Linked DNA regions of Saccharomyces cerevisiae S288C. The gene in region 2 interacts genetically with the main gene of each other region. Each region holds a gene or a part of one and is shown on either strand. Other genes may lie near its edges.

Evidence for each region.
Region 1: mutations in BST1 (region 2) and KEX1 together harm fitness more than expected from each alone (negative genetic interaction), as found in Saccharomyces cerevisiae (5 studies listed by BioGRID).
Region 3: mutations in BST1 (region 2) and PMT4 together harm fitness more than expected from each alone (negative genetic interaction), as found in Saccharomyces cerevisiae (3 studies listed by BioGRID).
Region 4: mutations in BST1 (region 2) and BIG1 together harm fitness more than expected from each alone (negative genetic interaction), as found in Saccharomyces cerevisiae (3 studies listed by BioGRID).

What each region holds. Positions count from the first base shown.
Region 1 is NC_001139.9:111,974-116,629, reverse strand, and holds KEX1 (serine-type carboxypeptidase), read left to right. Parts: upstream 1-1,965; coding exon 1,966-4,155; downstream 4,156-4,656. Other genes in the region: ARO8 (bifunctional 2-aminoadipate transaminase/aromatic-amino-acid:2-oxoglutarate transaminase), read right to left, coding at 1-571; YGL204C (uncharacterized protein), read left to right, coding at 4,625-4,656.
Region 2 is NC_001138.5:83,626-89,104, forward strand, and holds BST1 (Bst1p), read right to left. Parts: upstream 3,610-5,479; coding exon 520-3,609; downstream 1-519. Other genes in the region: alpha-factor pheromone receptor STE2, read left to right, coding at 1-250; EPL1 (Epl1p), read right to left, coding at 4,222-5,479.
Region 3 is NC_001142.9:697,765-702,132, reverse strand, and holds PMT4 (dolichyl-phosphate-mannose-protein mannosyltransferase), read left to right. Parts: upstream 1-1,518; coding exon 1,519-3,807; downstream 3,808-4,368. Other genes in the region: 40S ribosomal protein eS4 RPS4A, read left to right, coding at 1-106; MGM101 (Mgm101p), read right to left, coding at 442-1,251; YJR142W (uncharacterized protein), read right to left, coding at 3,964-4,368. UniProt on the Saccharomyces cerevisiae protein: Protein O-mannosyltransferase involved in O-glycosylation which is essential for cell wall rigidity. Forms a homodimeric complex to transfer mannose from Dol-P-mannose to Ser or Thr residues on proteins.
Region 4 is NC_001140.6:314,318-317,963, reverse strand, and holds BIG1 (Big1p), read left to right. Parts: upstream 1-1,995; coding exon 1,996-2,105; intron 2,106-2,192; coding exon 2,193-3,090; downstream 3,091-3,646. Other genes in the region: putative serine/threonine protein kinase KIC1, read right to left, coding at 1-1,392; GEP4 (phosphatidylglycerophosphatase), read left to right, coding at 3,291-3,646. UniProt on the Saccharomyces cerevisiae protein: Required for normal beta-1,6-glucan synthesis.

The DNA.
Region 1 (4,656 bases), on a different chromosome or scaffold from region 2:
TGATACCATCAGCGTCAATTGGCACGGGGAAGGTAATGACACCTTGAGCCTCTGCAGAAGCCAATGAAGAGGAAAAAGAATGTGCCTCAACTAAGATGACATCACCTCGGTTACAAAAGACTCTTAAAGTAGATTCCCAGGCATTTGTGTTACCTGCAGTGGCTAAAACGTCCCAGTCCTTATACTTCAAATCGTGGATAATCTTGGTATGATCTCTAATGAAGTTTAATAGTTCAGGTTGACCAGCACTGAACCCGTATTGCAAAGCTCTTGACAAAGGAATATCGTTGGAAGGATTGGCACTTTTATCAGCGTAATCTTTGTTGACGGTGTATTTTATGCAATTCTGCTCGTCAATTGGAGCTCCAATACCCTGGGGAAAAGGAGGCTTGGGTGAATCTACAGATAGATTATCCCATGGGAAATAATCTTTTAATGGCAGGCCACCACCCAAAAAGATAATGTTAGGATCTTGGAAAAGATGGATGCAGGTTTTCAATGGGGATGGTTTACGAGCATTGGTTTCATCCGAAAACAAGTAAGAAAAGTCTTTTGATTCAGGTAAAGTCATGATAGTAACGATCGGTTGTCCTATTCAATGTCTGTATCAACTGCAGGGTTTAACTTAGTGGAATGGAAAAATAAGAAAAAGAAATAAGTTCTTAAAGATATAACCAAACCAAATATATAGTCTAGAGATGTGTATAGGAGGGTCTACAAGATAAGAAAAAAGATTGCGATACACATATCTTCAAATGAAATGCGCTTAATATTAGTCATAGATTGGACCTCGAGAAAGTGAAAAAGTGCAGAGTGAAAAATGTGATAAAAAAAGGAAAAAAAGACATCTAAGGTAACCCGGATGTTCTTCATTATTCCGGCGCAATTTAGTACTGTTCTTCTATCAATGGCAATTCAGAAGCCAGATTCTTGAATGAGGTGAAGGAGAACAATGGTTATAGGTTAATTAAGAGATTTTTGGATGGTGTATATGAGCCATGTTTAATCTTGGAAAAATAGTGAACCGGGAAAAAAATAAAGAAGAACTCCTCATAGGGGGCTCGAACCCCTGACATTTCGGTATCCTTGCTTAAGCAAATGCGCTTAAAAGCCGAACGCTCTACCAACTGAGCTAACAAGGATGAGTTCTTCGGATTTCTTCGATAATAGTTTTAGTTAAATATACATTATGTTCACATAATGCTATTATTTAATGCACATGTTAATGGACGGTAAACTACTTATCATTTATTGCAACAAATGAAAAGACACCACCCTAACAGCACGAAAAATGATGTTAATGTCTTGTATAGTATTGTCGGATAACTAACTCTCGTCTCAACAAAGCTTAAATAAGAGCTGAGAGATTGGTGAATTTTAAGATGATTGTAGGCATTTCATTGTTGATCAAGGCTACAATATTATGTATACAGAATATACTAAAAGTTCTCCTCGAGGGTAGAGGAATCCTCAAAGGGGAAGCGATATTTCTACATAATATTATTACGATTATTCCTCATTCCGTTTTATATGTTTCATTATCCTATTACATTATCAATCCTTGCACTTCAGCTTCCTCTAACTTCGATGACAGTTTCTCATACCTTATGTCATCGTCTAACACCGTATATGATAATATACTGGTAGTGTGACTACTAGTTTATAGACGATAGTTGATTTTTATTCCAACAGGATCATTTTGTTAGGTGAGGAATTGCGAGCTTTTTGGCTATAACTTTCAAGTTTTGTCACCAACATTTATATTTGCTTACTGCAGCCCGGAACCGAAAAACAATGTGGAAAAAGAAAAAAAAGTGGAATATTTTGATAATATAGGAAACATTAAGAAAAGCGATTTCTTATCATTGTCTTCAACTCCCATCTATTTGAAAAAGCTTGCTGAAGCATACTTTGGTTAAAGAGTACCTTGGCTATAGAATACCGTAGAGATAAAGACCTGAATAGATGTTTTACAATAGGTGGCTCGGAACGTGGCTAGCCATGTCTGCTTTAATAAGGATCTCAGTATCCCTTCCGTCATCTGAGGAGTACAAAGTGGCATATGAGCTGTTGCCAGGGTTATCTGAAGTGCCAGACCCTTCAAATATTCCACAGATGCATGCTGGCCATATTCCTTTACGTTCCGAAGATGCGGATGAACAGGATAGCTCTGACTTGGAGTACTTTTTTTGGAAGTTTACCAATAACGACTCTAATGGCAATGTCGACCGTCCCTTAATTATATGGTTAAATGGTGGACCCGGTTGCTCTTCCATGGATGGTGCCTTGGTCGAATCCGGCCCTTTTAGGGTGAATTCAGACGGTAAACTTTATCTAAATGAAGGGTCCTGGATATCCAAAGGCGATCTTTTATTTATCGACCAACCTACTGGTACTGGGTTTTCTGTCGAACAAAATAAAGACGAAGGTAAAATCGACAAAAACAAATTTGACGAAGACCTAGAAGATGTGACCAAGCATTTTATGGATTTTCTGGAGAACTATTTCAAGATTTTTCCAGAAGACCTCACTAGGAAAATCATACTATCGGGTGAAAGTTACGCTGGCCAATACATACCATTCTTTGCCAATGCAATTTTGAACCATAACAAATTTTCAAAGATCGACGGGGATACATACGACTTGAAGGCGCTATTGATTGGTAACGGTTGGATTGACCCCAATACACAGTCCCTATCGTACCTTCCGTTTGCTATGGAGAAGAAACTGATTGATGAAAGCAACCCCAATTTCAAACACTTAACGAACGCACACGAGAATTGCCAGAATCTGATAAACTCTGCCAGTACAGATGAGGCAGCCCATTTTTCGTATCAGGAATGTGAGAATATTTTAAACCTTCTATTGTCTTATACCAGGGAATCTTCGCAAAAGGGAACAGCGGATTGCTTGAACATGTATAACTTCAATTTAAAAGATAGTTATCCATCTTGTGGTATGAATTGGCCGAAAGATATTTCCTTTGTCAGTAAATTCTTCAGCACACCTGGTGTTATTGATTCGTTGCATCTTGATTCTGATAAAATTGATCATTGGAAGGAATGCACTAATAGCGTTGGAACTAAATTGTCTAATCCTATTTCAAAGCCATCTATCCATTTATTACCTGGTCTACTTGAAAGTGGAATAGAGATTGTCTTGTTCAATGGTGACAAAGACTTGATTTGTAATAACAAGGGCGTATTAGATACTATAGACAATCTAAAATGGGGTGGAATAAAGGGATTTAGCGACGATGCTGTTTCGTTCGATTGGATCCATAAATCGAAGAGTACAGACGACAGCGAAGAATTTAGCGGATACGTGAAGTATGATAGAAATTTGACGTTTGTTAGCGTTTATAATGCTTCTCACATGGTACCCTTCGATAAAAGTTTAGTGAGTAGAGGCATTGTCGATATTTACTCGAACGATGTTATGATCATTGACAACAATGGGAAAAATGTTATGATTACTACTGACGACGATAGTGATCAAGATGCTACTACTGAAAGCGGTGATAAGCCAAAAGAAAACCTCGAAGAGGAAGAACAGGAAGCGCAGAATGAGGAAGGAAAGGAAAAAGAAGGCAATAAAGATAAAGATGGCGATGATGATAACGACAATGATGACGACGATGAAGACGATCACAACTCCGAGGGCGACGACGATGATGACGATGACGATGATGAAGACGATAATAATGAAAAACAAAGTAATCAAGGCCTCGAGGATAGTAGACATAAATCTTCAGAATATGAACAAGAAGAGGAAGAGGTAGAAGAATTTGCAGAAGAGATTTCAATGTATAAACACAAAGCGGTAGTAGTTACCATCGTTACATTTTTGATAGTGGTTTTAGGAGTTTATGCGTATGATAGAAGAGTGAGGAGAAAAGCGCGTCACACAATTTTAGTTGATCCAAATAATAGACAACATGACAGTCCCAATAAGACAGTTTCATGGGCAGATGATCTGGAAAGCGGACTCGGGGCAGAAGATGATTTAGAACAAGATGAGCAGTTAGAAGGCGGAGCACCCATAAGTAGCACTTCTAACAAAGCAGGATCTAAATTGAAAACTAAGAAAAAGAAGAAGTATACTAGCCTTCCGAACACTGAAATCGATGAATCTTTTGAGATGACTGATTTTTAACTTGGCAAATAAAAATATATAAAAAATACAGAAAAATAGTTATAATACCTCGCACACGCTTTTCGTAGTAACAGCGACATAAAGATAAATTCTTTAAAGGGTACAATCCATCAAGAACTGACTGTTTTATTTAATTCACACTACTGAACTTCATATTAAAGTGTCGTCATTTAAGTCTAGTAGGTTATATTAATCGCGCACAATAGTTTTTTTTTATGCAAACTGTATCACGAATATTTTTTCAGTTTTCGGACCATTTTTTGACATTTTTAACCAGTTTTTAACATTTTTATGGTAGCGTTCTTTTATTTTTCACGTAATTGCATTGAAATAGACATAAACGTATAAAATAATATACAAGTAATTAGAGCTTTTGAACGAGATTGTTTAGTGGTTGTTTTAACTCCTTCACAGAAGTTGAAAACTTCAACGCATTCATAGCCCCACATATCAACACAAATCCCTGGAAATGAATGGAACTGATATCCTTCGTTTTTTGCA
Region 2 (5,479 bases):
TAGAAGGAAGGAAACAACATCGGATAAACATTCGGAAAGAACTTTTGTTTCTGAGACTGCAGATGATATAGAGAAAAATCAGTTTTATCAGTTGCCCACACCTACGAGTTCAAAAAATACTAGGATAGGACCGTTTGCTGATGCAAGTTACAAAGAGGGAGAAGTTGAACCCGTCGACATGTACACTCCCGATACGGCAGCTGATGAGGAAGCCAGAAAGTTCTGGACTGAAGATAATAATAATTTATGATCAAAATTTACGGCTTTGAAAAAGTAATTTCGTGACCTTCGGTATAAGGTTACTACTAGATTCAGGTGCTCATCAGATGCACCACATTCTCTATAAAAAAAAATGGTATCTTTCTTATTTGATAATATTTAAACTCCTTTACATAATAAACATCTCGTAAGTAGTGGTAGAAACCACCTTTGCTTTTACGAGTTCAAGCTTTTTTCTTGCCATGATCTAGAACTCTCAGGCAATATATACAGTTAATCTTTTTTTACTGGGTTGTAGTTCTAATGTATTGTTTCGAAAAATAGCAACCAGGCACATATTATGTTCACCAAGTGGTGTATCCAGTACAGATTTCTTATTCCATAAATGAAACTGAAAACGGTTAAGTACACAAATAAAATGATGGTAACTTTACCATCCCACGTGTCTAAAGGTACGCTGTTTGGCATTTTGAAAATAGAATTATTTCCAACCAAAAAAATAATTGGTGCCACTGCTAGTATATTGTGATGGGATCTAAATGAAGTTTCCCATTTGATGGCAACATTATGCAGGAAAACAATAATGATAGGGATGTTAATGGCACTAACAAATAATAAAAGCAGAAGCAACGTCATATTATAATTTAGTAAGTTCAATTTCTGCTCGTTGTTTGATAGTTTCAACAGCGCTACTCTAATGCAGGTAGCAATTTGGATTACTAATGAGATAACAAACGCCATCTGGTATGGTATGTGAAAAAATACCAACAGTAATAAAAGCACAGATGCCATTAATCTTCCCTTACCATACGCTTTATGTTCAATAGTATCAAAAGCCTCTTTATCTTCAGTGTTTTTCTTTGATAACTTCCGTTGAAGGAATATTACTAAAATTTCCAAGGATCCAAAAATCTTAGAAACTAGTGCTAGTAATCCAACTGTCATAACCCCAAAGAGAATTCCAATAGTTGACATAAACCAATCTCTGATCCCCAAATAATAAAAATTTGCATGCATGTTTCTCTCGGATAGCAGAAATGGATAATTTAAACCGACAGGATCCAATAAATAAAGTATTCGTTGTACCAACTTATTATTAACCACAGGCGAAGCTAAGAACAGCGTAAAAAACATTAATATTCCGTGCTTTCTTAAAATATATCCCAAAGTGCTATCAAAGGAAGGAAACTCAGATGTCTTGTTGTACCAGTAGAACTGGTATGACAGTACGAGTGCTATAAACGCGACTGGAAAAGATGCTAGTGCTAATCTGTACCTGATAAACAGCATTTTCAAAGTTAAAGACCAATTAATAGTCATTTTAGCTTCTAAGGACATTCCGGGTGGAATAAAAAAACTTAATTGTAGCGATCTCGGTTCGCTTTCATTTAATGGGATAAACGGTGCTACATTATGCATATTTATATCGAGACTTTTGTTTATAATATTTAGATGCCATTTAGACTCGAAAGGTTCGTAAACCCATTGCCTTATGAAAGGCTGAAACAATGTCTCTTCGGAAGCAATACCTTCGTTGCTTGCCTCAATCTTGGTTTCTAATTTGTACGATAATAAAGAATCCCACAAATTACTGAAACTTATAACCTGCTCGATGTCTTTGCCATCCAAGTGTAGTTGTTCTCCAAAGAGCAATATTTGAGAAGGTGTAGTATTGACTATTTGTACATTGGAGACGTTGCGCAGTAATGCCAAAAGAAACCCCTGATTGTCCTCCATGCCTTCTTGTTCTGAAAATTCACCGTAAGTGGGTTTGCTTATCATCAAGTAGTCGTACTTCTGTAGTATATTCTTGCCAACACTAACGGCTTTAAACGGATTTTTTGCTTCTCCAAAAGAAGAATCAGCTGCGAACTGAGTATCTTTTGAAGACCTGGGCACTGTTAGAATACTATCAACAGCTGTTATACAGCTTAGATTCACCCTGGACTCTGTACAGAAATAGATCATAGGCATATCGAGACTAGTTAATAATGTGAAATGCAGGTGTTCAGTGGAGGAGATGTTACTCGGAATATTTATTTTTGTATAATTGTTGTGCCACTTTTCCAGGTTAAACATTTCAAAATCTAGGACATCGTTCATTTCCAAAGTAGCGTAATCAGAAAAGAAGTTGTCACTAAATTCTTGTAAGTTTTCTTGAGGATAATTTAACTTACTATTCATCCATGAGTAGTCTTCAAACCCTGAAAGCAATAGTTTTCTAGCGATTTGCAATCTCTGATTCAATGGCTTAACTTTTTCAGGTTTGGAGGCATCTATACTTTCCAATAAAAGGCGCGCTAGTACCTCTCTTAATTGCTTGCACCAAACAATGGCTAAATGATCAATTGGAGTCCAAACATCTGGAATAGTAGTTGTGAAGCTGGTGAACCCATTTTCTAAGCTAACCAAATCTTCTACAGATGCATAATCTGCAGGTAAAGTAGTATCCAATATACCGCCTGTAATGGAAACCAATGAAATGTTCTTAGAGAAAAAAGAATCGTTTTGGGATAACTGCTTTCTCCAATATTCGTTTGTATTTTTGTAAAGCTTTAAAATGTCACCATCAAAGGTTACTGGTGAAGCAGCATGAGGTGATGATAAGGTCAATATGGTGCTTATACTTCCCGGTACGTGGTTCTTCAAAGTTAGCATGACCCTGGATACAATACCGCCCATGGAATGTCCCACGATAATAACTGACTGCGGTTTTGGATGTGGGTAATCAGGGGTCCTTTCGTAAAGAGACAAGATGTACTTAATGGCATCATTTAGGTATTCAGCTTGATCAAGCATTGTTTCACCATGAAACGCAGTGAAATCTTCATTGAAATCTGCCGTAAAGAAGTCCAAATTTCGCACATTTTCGTTACGCAGAGTCGCCCTGGTATTGGAATCAAAATATATATTGGAGCAAGCGGAAGCAATCGATCTGCATTGCCTAAAAGAACCTGCATTTCCGGGTATAAAAAGTACAGGGATACCATCAAGTTGTAACTCATCACCATTTAAAGGTTCTCGGTCTACGCTTTGTTCTCGATACAAGTAAAGATGATACTTGTGTGCCAGTGGTGTATACCTCTCGTCAAATCCATCGATCCTTGCGTAAGATGGAAACATATAGATAGATTCACACTGAGGAGCATCTGCACCATTAAAAGGTTTCAGTAGCGATATCAATAAAAGCGAGCAAATGCTTAAAATGCCAAGAATAGAGAAAAGGCGATATGTGTAAGGTTTTTTTGCTATCTTATCATTGTTCATATATTTGGGGGAAGCTTTATCCTGGTCTTCACGCGTAGCGAGTACTCTCGAGTATTGACCAGATGAGTTAACTTTATTAATTATGGGCCGCGTTATAACACTAACTAATCTCCTGATACCCATAACGAAATGAAGATTTTTGTATGATGGTAAGCCTAAGATATAGGCCAATGCTTTAAAGTAGAGGGAGTATTTCGAGTGTGAATTTACTATCAGATGGAACTGCAAGGAATGTGTTGAGACTCATTTTTACTTTTTCTTGTTATGACTTGGTTGGTATATTTAGACCTTTTTCAAAATTCGCGCCATACAGGAAAAAAAAATGGATAATAAGAAGAAATGCATTTATTTGAGGGTACCTAGTGAGTTATGCAATTGTCTATATAAGAGTATGAATCTAACTTAAATACATCAAGCATTTGGGATGAAATCATGCGAAAAATCAAAAGGTCACAACCGTGTGAAATGGAAATTAAAAAAAACGTTAAAAATATGTAGTCTTGTGAAGGTGATAATATTACAGCCGGATGATACTTGCTATTTTTCTTTTGAAATTTATTGTAGTTATCTTTTTTTGTTTTTTGTTTTTTTTCATTATTATTGCGTTATCGGTGTTCATTTCGGTGATTTGAATCTTCAGTAATGTTGCCTCGACTTTCGTAGTAAACTTTGAATGTCAGGTTTGTTAAATGCCAATGCGTAGAAAGATGTTCGAGAGGTACAAAGTTGTGCTGCTCATGATGAATTTTTCTGGGTTATAGAAGAGTTCTGTTTCGCTTCTGAATTGATTAACGAATCATTTAATTTTTTTAGGGAGTTCGAAGAATTTGAATTATTGTTCTGTGATTTCTGCTTTTGTTGTTGTGCTTGCTGCTGTTGCTGCTGCTGCTGTTGTTGTTGCTGTTGTAAATGTTGTATATGCTTTTGTTTCAGTCTGGTGATATAGTCCCTACGATACTTTATGGTGGCTTCCCTTAATTGTTCGTAGGACTTCGTACCCAACATTGTTCCGAATCTAATCACCTGAGTATCATTTGAAATCTGGTTAAGTCTTGCCGGTTCATCTGAAAACTTGATCCCATATTCATTTTGTGGAGAATCATACTTCCACTTGTCGTAAAGTCTGACAAATTCGTCGTATTTGGAATCGTAAACATTAATCGAGTCAGTATCGTTACTACCTTCTCTTGAATATTGTTCTTTTTCGATTGAATCGAAATCTACAAAATCCATTAAAGAACATGCAGACTTGGTCGACGATGTTGTAAAATTTGGCATACGATCAACATACTTAATATTAGATCTACCAACTCTCTTCCTGAATTTTATTGGATACTCTCTCGAATGAATTTCCAAATTTTCTTGGAATGGGTCGTACAGTTCAGTTTTTTTGATTCTTTTGGTATCCAAGTTGTAATTATCTTTGTTTCTCGAACGGCCATTTGAATCATATATTCTGATGTCATCAGATATCCCCTTCAAGTATTCTGGTAAATGTGAAGAATAAAAAGATCTATCTATCTGAAACTTGGATGACGCGATAGATGCAAAGGGAACATTACTAGTCGAAAAATTTTTAGGCAACGACATGTCAAATACAGGATTAAAGGGATCGTCCGTTAAGTTGAAAAAGACATCTGCGTCTTCAATTTTCCGTTTCTCCATCTTTTCCTGAACGAACTTTCTTGCATTTTTTTCTTTGCTGTTCAATAGAGCATCCACGTCTTCCAATACAATGTCAGGAATTTTGGAAGATGGTAGTTTGACATAAACATGAGACGTAATTGGCTGTGATGTTGAAGAAGAGGATGCATTCGCGAGTTGCTTTCCGTTTTCAGTCTTAAGGGCATTTTGCTGTTGTTGTTGTTGTTGCTGTAACAGTTGCTGCTGTTGCTGCTTGGTGAGCCTAGAAGATTTGTCTTCAAGTTGGTTATTCCTTTTATTGTTCTTTGCCTTCGCTGCCGCTGCTGCAGCAGCTGCTCTCTTAAGTTCA
Region 3 (4,368 bases), on a different chromosome or scaffold from region 2:
CATCGGTGAACAAGGTAAGCCTTACATTTCTTTGCCAAAGGGTAAGGGTATCAAGTTGTCTATTGCTGAAGAACGTGACAGAAGAAGAGCTCAACAAGGTTTATAAATTTCATAACAACTTAATTATTTTCTTCTTTTGTATATCTCCATTAATGTTTATTAGAAATTGAATTTTAAAATAATACATCGTATCTTCCTTTTTCGACTGGCAGTAATATAACGTATAATATATATATTAGGTGTGTGTATATATATCCGTATTGTAATATTGATAGTAAAAATACGCTAACCCTGAAATAGAAGGCGTATGATAAGACGTACTGACACTACGCACTACCACAATATATGCGTATGTGTGTGTGTGTGTGTGTGTGTGTGTGTGTGTGATTGTATTGGAATATATATACTTACTAAAATTAGCTTATATGGTTCGCATATTGACTATTTATAAGGATATTCAACTTGTCTGTCCTTTCTTAACCAAATTTTCTTCTTTCTCTTGGTGGTAACATGTTCCACAAACTTCTCAGTACAATGATCCACTTTGAATTTCTTTATGAAAACAGGGTCCCATAATTCAGAACCGACGCCGAGATCTTTGCAACACCTCATTAATGCATTACTTTTGCAACCTTCTGTAGCAGTTGGTATGCCGGCTTCGTTGAAATAGTCTTGTTCGCCTCTTGCCACACTGATCAATTGACCATGGCAAATAAGACCGTACTCCCTAGTGACCAGCTTGGATGTCACTATTGTTTGTGATCTTGGCACTAGCCCCCAACCGCCTGCGCCAAAAGCTTTGTTCAGTATTCTACGGTATTTAATTTCAGGCAAGTATATCAAACCATCTGGCTTGATTTCTATATCCTTAGGGTCCAGAGGCTCGATTAGATCCTTTTGCACTTTTGCTTCAAAGGGCTTCATACCTAGGCCATACCATGAAGTATACCAGTCAATGTCTCCCTTGACTTGCTTATAACTATTGTTCAAAGAATCATCGGCGGTGCTGCGGGTTTCCAAAGGGGTCCCGCCGAGTTTAGAGTTAATGCCGCTTGAATATTCCTTCATGTGGCTTCCATTGCCAGCTTCCGATTTTGTTGCAAATACAGGCTTGGTTTCGGTACTGTTGAAACTTTTCCTCACTGCACCGGCTGTTGCGGTGTTACTAGTGCCGGTACTCACCACGGTTCTTTTTTGGCAAAATTGAGCAGCATGCGATACACATCCTCTAACCTTGAAAATGCTTTTCATCGTACGCTGATCTTCCTACTTGTCCTTTCTTTCCTTTTTTAGTCTCTACCGTCTTTTTAAATAGTTTCTTCCATTATTCTGTCGATAAATTTCGTGATGTTATTCGTGTATTTCTTGACAAAAAAAATAAAAAATGAAAAATATGCATAATGAAACGCGCTTTATCAAAACTACTCACTCGAATCCTTACTTCTATATTAACTGTACTAAGAAGTTTGTCGATACATATTTTACCAAGATATTTTCTGACAGTCCACAGAAGTACAGATGTCTGTGCCCAAAAAACGTAACCATGGGAAGTTACCACCTTCCACTAAGGACGTAGACGATCCTTCGTTGAAGTACACGAAGGCCGCGCCTAAATGTGAACAAGTTGCTGAACATTGGCTCTTGCAGCCACTACCGGAACCGGAATCACGTTATAGCTTTTGGGTAACAATTGTTACCTTATTAGCGTTTGCTGCTAGATTTTATAAGATCTGGTATCCAAAAGAAGTTGTTTTTGATGAGGTACATTTCGGGAAATTTGCATCGTATTACTTAGAAAGGTCTTATTTCTTTGACGTTCATCCCCCTTTTGCTAAGATGATGATTGCCTTCATTGGTTGGTTATGTGGCTATGATGGTTCCTTTAAGTTTGATGAGATTGGGTATTCTTATGAAACTCATCCAGCTCCATATATCGCGTACCGTTCTTTCAACGCGATATTGGGCACATTGACTGTACCAATTATGTTCAACACTTTGAAGGAACTGAATTTCAGGGCTATTACATGTGCGTTTGCATCTCTCTTGGTTGCAATCGATACTGCGCATGTTACAGAAACTAGGCTGATTTTACTGGATGCCATCTTGATTATTTCTATTGCTGCTACTATGTATTGTTACGTTCGTTTCTACAAGTGCCAATTGCGTCAACCTTTTACATGGAGTTGGTATATTTGGTTACACGCTACTGGTTTGTCTTTATCCTTCGTGATTTCCACAAAATATGTTGGTGTTATGACATATTCCGCTATTGGTTTTGCTGCTGTGGTCAACTTATGGCAATTACTGGACATCAAGGCGGGTTTGTCCTTGAGGCAGTTCATGAGACATTTTAGTAAAAGGCTGAATGGTTTAGTTTTGATTCCATTTGTGATTTACTTGTTTTGGTTCTGGGTTCATTTCACCGTTTTGAATACTTCAGGTCCTGGCGACGCATTTATGTCTGCTGAATTTCAAGAAACACTTAAGGACTCTCCCTTAAGTGTTGACTCTAAAACCGTCAATTATTTTGATATTATCACTATCAAACATCAAGATACTGACGCATTCTTACATTCTCACTTGGCACGTTACCCACAACGGTATGAAGATGGTCGTATCTCATCCGCTGGTCAACAAGTTACTGGTTACACGCATCCTGACTTCAACAATCAATGGGAAGTGTTACCACCCCATGGCAGTGATGTCGGTAAAGGACAAGCTGTTCTATTGAACCAGCATATAAGATTGAGACATGTAGCCACCGATACCTACTTGTTAGCCCATGATGTCGCCTCCCCATTTTACCCTACCAATGAAGAAATCACTACAGTAACTTTAGAAGAAGGTGATGGGGAATTATATCCTGAAACACTTTTTGCATTCCAACCACTGAAAAAATCAGATGAAGGTCACGTTTTAAAGAGTAAAACGGTTTCTTTCCGTCTTTTCCACGTTGATACCTCCGTAGCTTTGTGGACTCACAACGACGAGTTGTTACCGGATTGGGGGTTCCAACAACAAGAAATTAATGGTAACAAAAAAGTTATTGATCCTTCAAATAACTGGGTTGTTGATGAAATTGTTAACCTGGACGAGGTTCGGAAGGTATATATTCCGAAGGTTGTTAAGCCATTACCATTCTTGAAGAAATGGATTGAAACTCAAAAATCTATGTTCGAACATAACAATAAACTATCATCAGAGCATCCATTTGCCTCTGAACCTTACAGTTGGCCCGGTAGTTTAAGTGGTGTTTCGTTCTGGACCAACGGTGACGAAAAGAAGCAAATATATTTCATTGGTAACATCATTGGGTGGTGGTTCCAAGTCATATCATTGGCTGTTTTTGTTGGCATTATCGTGGCCGATTTAATTACTAGACATCGTGGCTATTATGCCCTAAACAAGATGACCAGAGAAAAGCTGTATGGCCCATTGATGTTTTTCTTCGTCTCCTGGTGCTGTCATTATTTTCCATTCTTTTTAATGGCGCGTCAAAAGTTTTTGCATCATTACTTACCAGCTCATTTAATCGCGTGCTTATTCTCAGGAGCACTATGGGAAGTAATTTTCAGTGATTGCAAATCATTGGATTTGGAGAAAGACGAGGATATTTCAGGTGCATCATATGAACGGAACCCTAAGGTCTACGTTAAACCCTATACCGTCTTCTTGGTGTGTGTCTCCTGTGCTGTTGCGTGGTTTTTTGTATACTTTTCACCACTAGTGTATGGAGATGTCAGCTTGTCACCATCGGAAGTTGTTTCTAGAGAGTGGTTTGACATAGAATTAAATTTCTCCAAGTAACTTTTTCTGTTCACTAACCACAAACGAACTGAACGCCTTCCTCCGTTTAGTGACAAAATAGAGTACTTTTGATCTTAGATAGTATGTACCTAGATGTGTATATATGAAAAAAATTCTTTATATTTGTTTAGATATCAACCGGTAACCTCTTGAATGTTAATTCAAGGTGGGGAATGGTAACCTTCTGTGCATTCTAGTTACTAGTTCAAGATAATTGGGCTCATTTTCTGGAGTGATGTAGCCATGTCTAATCAAGAAATCTACCATTACCAATGCACAATTTGGTTTGAACTCTTTTTTTCTTAAAGCATTAATCGTCTCTTGCAGGCTGAATAAATTGAAACTCTCGACTTCACCATCGTTTGGTTTTGGAATGATGTCTTCGCTGAGTTTTAGATCGTATACATATTGTACTTCCCCTACGATAAAATCTGATTCCTTATTGAACTTCGTTACAGAAATATCACCCGTAAAGTAAAGGTAGGAAACTGAACCAGTTGCTTTAATGTTATCCTCAATAACACTCTTTTCTAGATTGGCTTCCTCCATGCTTTCTTTCAA
Region 4 (3,646 bases), on a different chromosome or scaffold from region 2:
ATGTGTTCCAGAGGTGTTTGTAGTTCCAGCTACCATTTTGGAAGGGTATTTTGAGTTCGTATAGTTATTTGTTACTGGTGCATTCAAAGTAGAATTTTGAGCTATTGTACCAGGATAGCCCTTTCCTATCGTTGTCCCTTGATAAACAAAGGGTCTAGTATTATGACTTGTAGGGTCAAAGTAATAAGAATCTTCGTCAGGGTATGCATAGTTGAACAGGTCATGTTGGGCAGTAGCCCACTCGTTGTTGTCCTCAGCCAAAGCATCGAGGTTGATATTATTTTCAATAATATAATCCGACGAACTCAATGAATCAAAATCCCATTTCATTTCCACATCGCCTTCGTTCACTCTCTTAATTTCATTATCATTTGATGCTATTGACTTTTGTGCTTCATCACCCCCGCCATTTTGTGATGGTTTTGGAGCTTCACTGGGTTTTGATGGCTCATTTTCCGGTATACTGCCCTCTATTTTATATTTGTTTTTATTCTTGTCCCTAAATAGTAGATATCGTGATATTAGTTCTTTCAAAATGGACGTTGGCGTCGCCTTGTGGGCCCTGATAAATTTTGATTTTAAAAGATCGTCTGCTGACAATCTCTCCTTTGGATCCTCATCAAGACAAAGCGCAATAAATTCTTTCAAAGATGTACTGTATGATCTGTCCTCAAGCCTCGGTGGTTTCGATTTGATGATTAGTTGCATTGCCCTTAGGGCCTCCACATCGCAGTATGGCGGATTTCCGGTGGCAATCTCGTACGTTGTAATACCTAAAGACCATATATCTACTTTAGTGTCGTAATAAACGCCTTCCATGATCACTTCTGGAGCCATCCAGTAGGGGGTCCCAGCCATAGTTTGACGTCGTAAAGAAGTTTGGTTTACTTGTGCAGCGACACCAAAATCGCATAGTTTAACATTACCTTCGTTAGTGATCAGAACGTTTGCTGCTTTGATATCTCGATGAATGACGTTATCTTTATGAATGCATTTTAATGCTACAAGCAGTTCTCTCATAATAACCCCAATGTACTTTTCATCGATTTTGCCTGGCCTTAACAACGAACGCAGTGAACCACCAGCGCAGTGTTCCATTATGATCCAAAGGCTTGTGTCTTTCAAATACGACCCATAATACCGCGTGATATTGGAAATCTGTTTCAAGGAGGCCAAAAACTGAATTTCTCGCTGCACATCCTCCACCTCGTCAGAATCAGAATCTAAATTTAAGACTTTGATAGCATACACTCGTCCAGTCTTCACGTTATAGCCCTTATAAACCACACCAAATTTCCCTCGCCCAATAACTTCCGTTCTCTTGAAAAGTGAACTCACATCCATCTCTCCTTCGGCTAAACCCTGCTTACTATTTTGTGGCTTCGTCGTCATTACTGCCTGTTCTCTATACGTGTTTTGCTTGCCAGTCGATGGCGCCCAAATTTATACTTTTTGTTTCTTTATCTGTGTACTGTTAAAAGTAGTACTGTTAAAAGTAGTAAGCTCCTTAGAAAGCGGTTCCGCCTAATAGTTCCTAACTTGTTGTATGTGGCTTCACGTAGGACGAGTTGCCTCTGTTCTTCTTTGACTTTTGCCACGTCGGCAAGCTGCTGCTCTTGTTGATGCCTTTAAAGATTGTCAGATCGGCCTGAGATCGACGTGTGGCATGATAATGTTGCTCGATGGGCTGTAAATAGATAAGAAAGAGTGAAACGAATAGAGTAACGAGGCCACAGATGTGGCGAAACCTGGGAGGATATGTTCTAACGTTATCTAGAGTTCTGATAGAGCATTGTATGCGATAGTACCGCTGACATATGTGCATTCTTTAATTATATCGATGATATCATGCAACACGGGTTAGCTCTGTAGTAATGTAAACCTCTCTTAACTACGGCCAAGAATATCAGCAGCGGAGGTTAAGTTGCAGGTTATACCTATCTGTTTTGTAGTTAGGAAACGTAGGCGCATACTAATTAGGAGTAGCAAGGCAAGATGCAAACTGTGTTGAAATATTTGTTGCTTATTATGTGTGGAAGCTTTTGTGCTTCGGAGGAATTGCAAAACCAGACCAATGTTCCTGCAATATTCTTCTCTTACAAACTGTATGTAGAACAAGAAACATTAATCTTTAGTAACTTTCATTTTTCTTACTAACTAGATGTTATACACATATTTGTACTTTTGGATAGAACTCCCGGTATTTTAAAGTATCAAGAGGATTATGATAGGGCTGTGACTTTACCAAGAGACACCTTTATTGAAGCGGCTGAGAAATTCTTAGGTGTATGTAATGCTGACACTTATGTGTTTATTAATCAACCAGGCCTGAGGAAATTGGACTTCTTGGAATTTGAAACAGAGTTTGTTTCGTTACAGAGATATATAAGACGGAGTTCAACCGCGATTAAGTTCGAAAAGGTAGACCTATTGCCTCAAGATTTATACTATGATCTTGCAGAGTTTGTAAAGGAGTATTGTAACGTAGACCAGGTGTTGAACTTACGAGGTAATAATACAGAAGATTTCCAGCCCTTTATTGATAGCGAAAAAAGAGTGATTATAATAGAGTACCCTAAGTTACCAGAGGACACTAATGAACGTAAAGAAGCATTCCGCCATTATGACAAGTATTTGAGGACTATACTGGCGCAGATTCCGTCGCCAGAACAAAATGTCATTTACACCTCGTTAAACCCAGGAACTACGCTGGCTCACGAGTCGATCATCCCTATCCAAATATTTCCAGATATCTTTGACATAAAATCCAGAGTGGGTGAAGTGGAACAAAATAATAGAGTTTTGGATGTGCCTCGTCTGTCGTTTAATGACTATACTCCACGATTTTCAGAGCCACCTTCGGAGTATGTCTCAATATTTGATTCACAATTAATTGAGAATAACAGAGGTTTATTACAGCTGATTTTCACAATTTTGGTTGGGTATATTCTTATTCAGTTTTTTTTCACAAAAAAAACTATTGTAGATGAGAAGATTACTAATAAAAAGGACAACGTGAAACAGACGTCACCACAACTGCTCAAAAAAGTGCAAGAGATCCAGAAAAAGCCATCCCAGCAAGTATCTTGATTATGGTTCGTTATATACATCGATTCTTTGCAAAATTATCCATGAGAGACTTCGCGCCATGCTACAATTTACCAATGCGCATCGAGAAATTTATGCTATCGCATTTAATATGATATAATTATCCGTCTGTTTATATATATATATATATGGGGCCAAACTGAAAGGCGGCAGTTACATTACATCGTCTCCTCTACCTAGTCATGAACATCAGTGGCACCTTAAATACGCTCCGGTTGCTTTATAACCCATCACTGTGTAAGCCTAGTCTAGTTGTCCCCACTTTTAACGATCTTCCTATACCAATCCACGATTCTATAAAGGCCGTGGTCTTGGATAAGGACAACTGCATCGCCTTCCCTCATGATGACAAAATATGGCCAGATTACTTGCAACACTGGGAAACCTTAAGGTCGAAATACTCTAACAAAGCACTCTTGATTGTTAGCAATACCGCCGGTTCCAATTCTGATAAGGACTATTCGCAAGCAAAACTTTTGGAAGATAAGACAGGTATACCTGTTTTGCGGCACTCTACAAAGAAACCAGGTTGTCACAA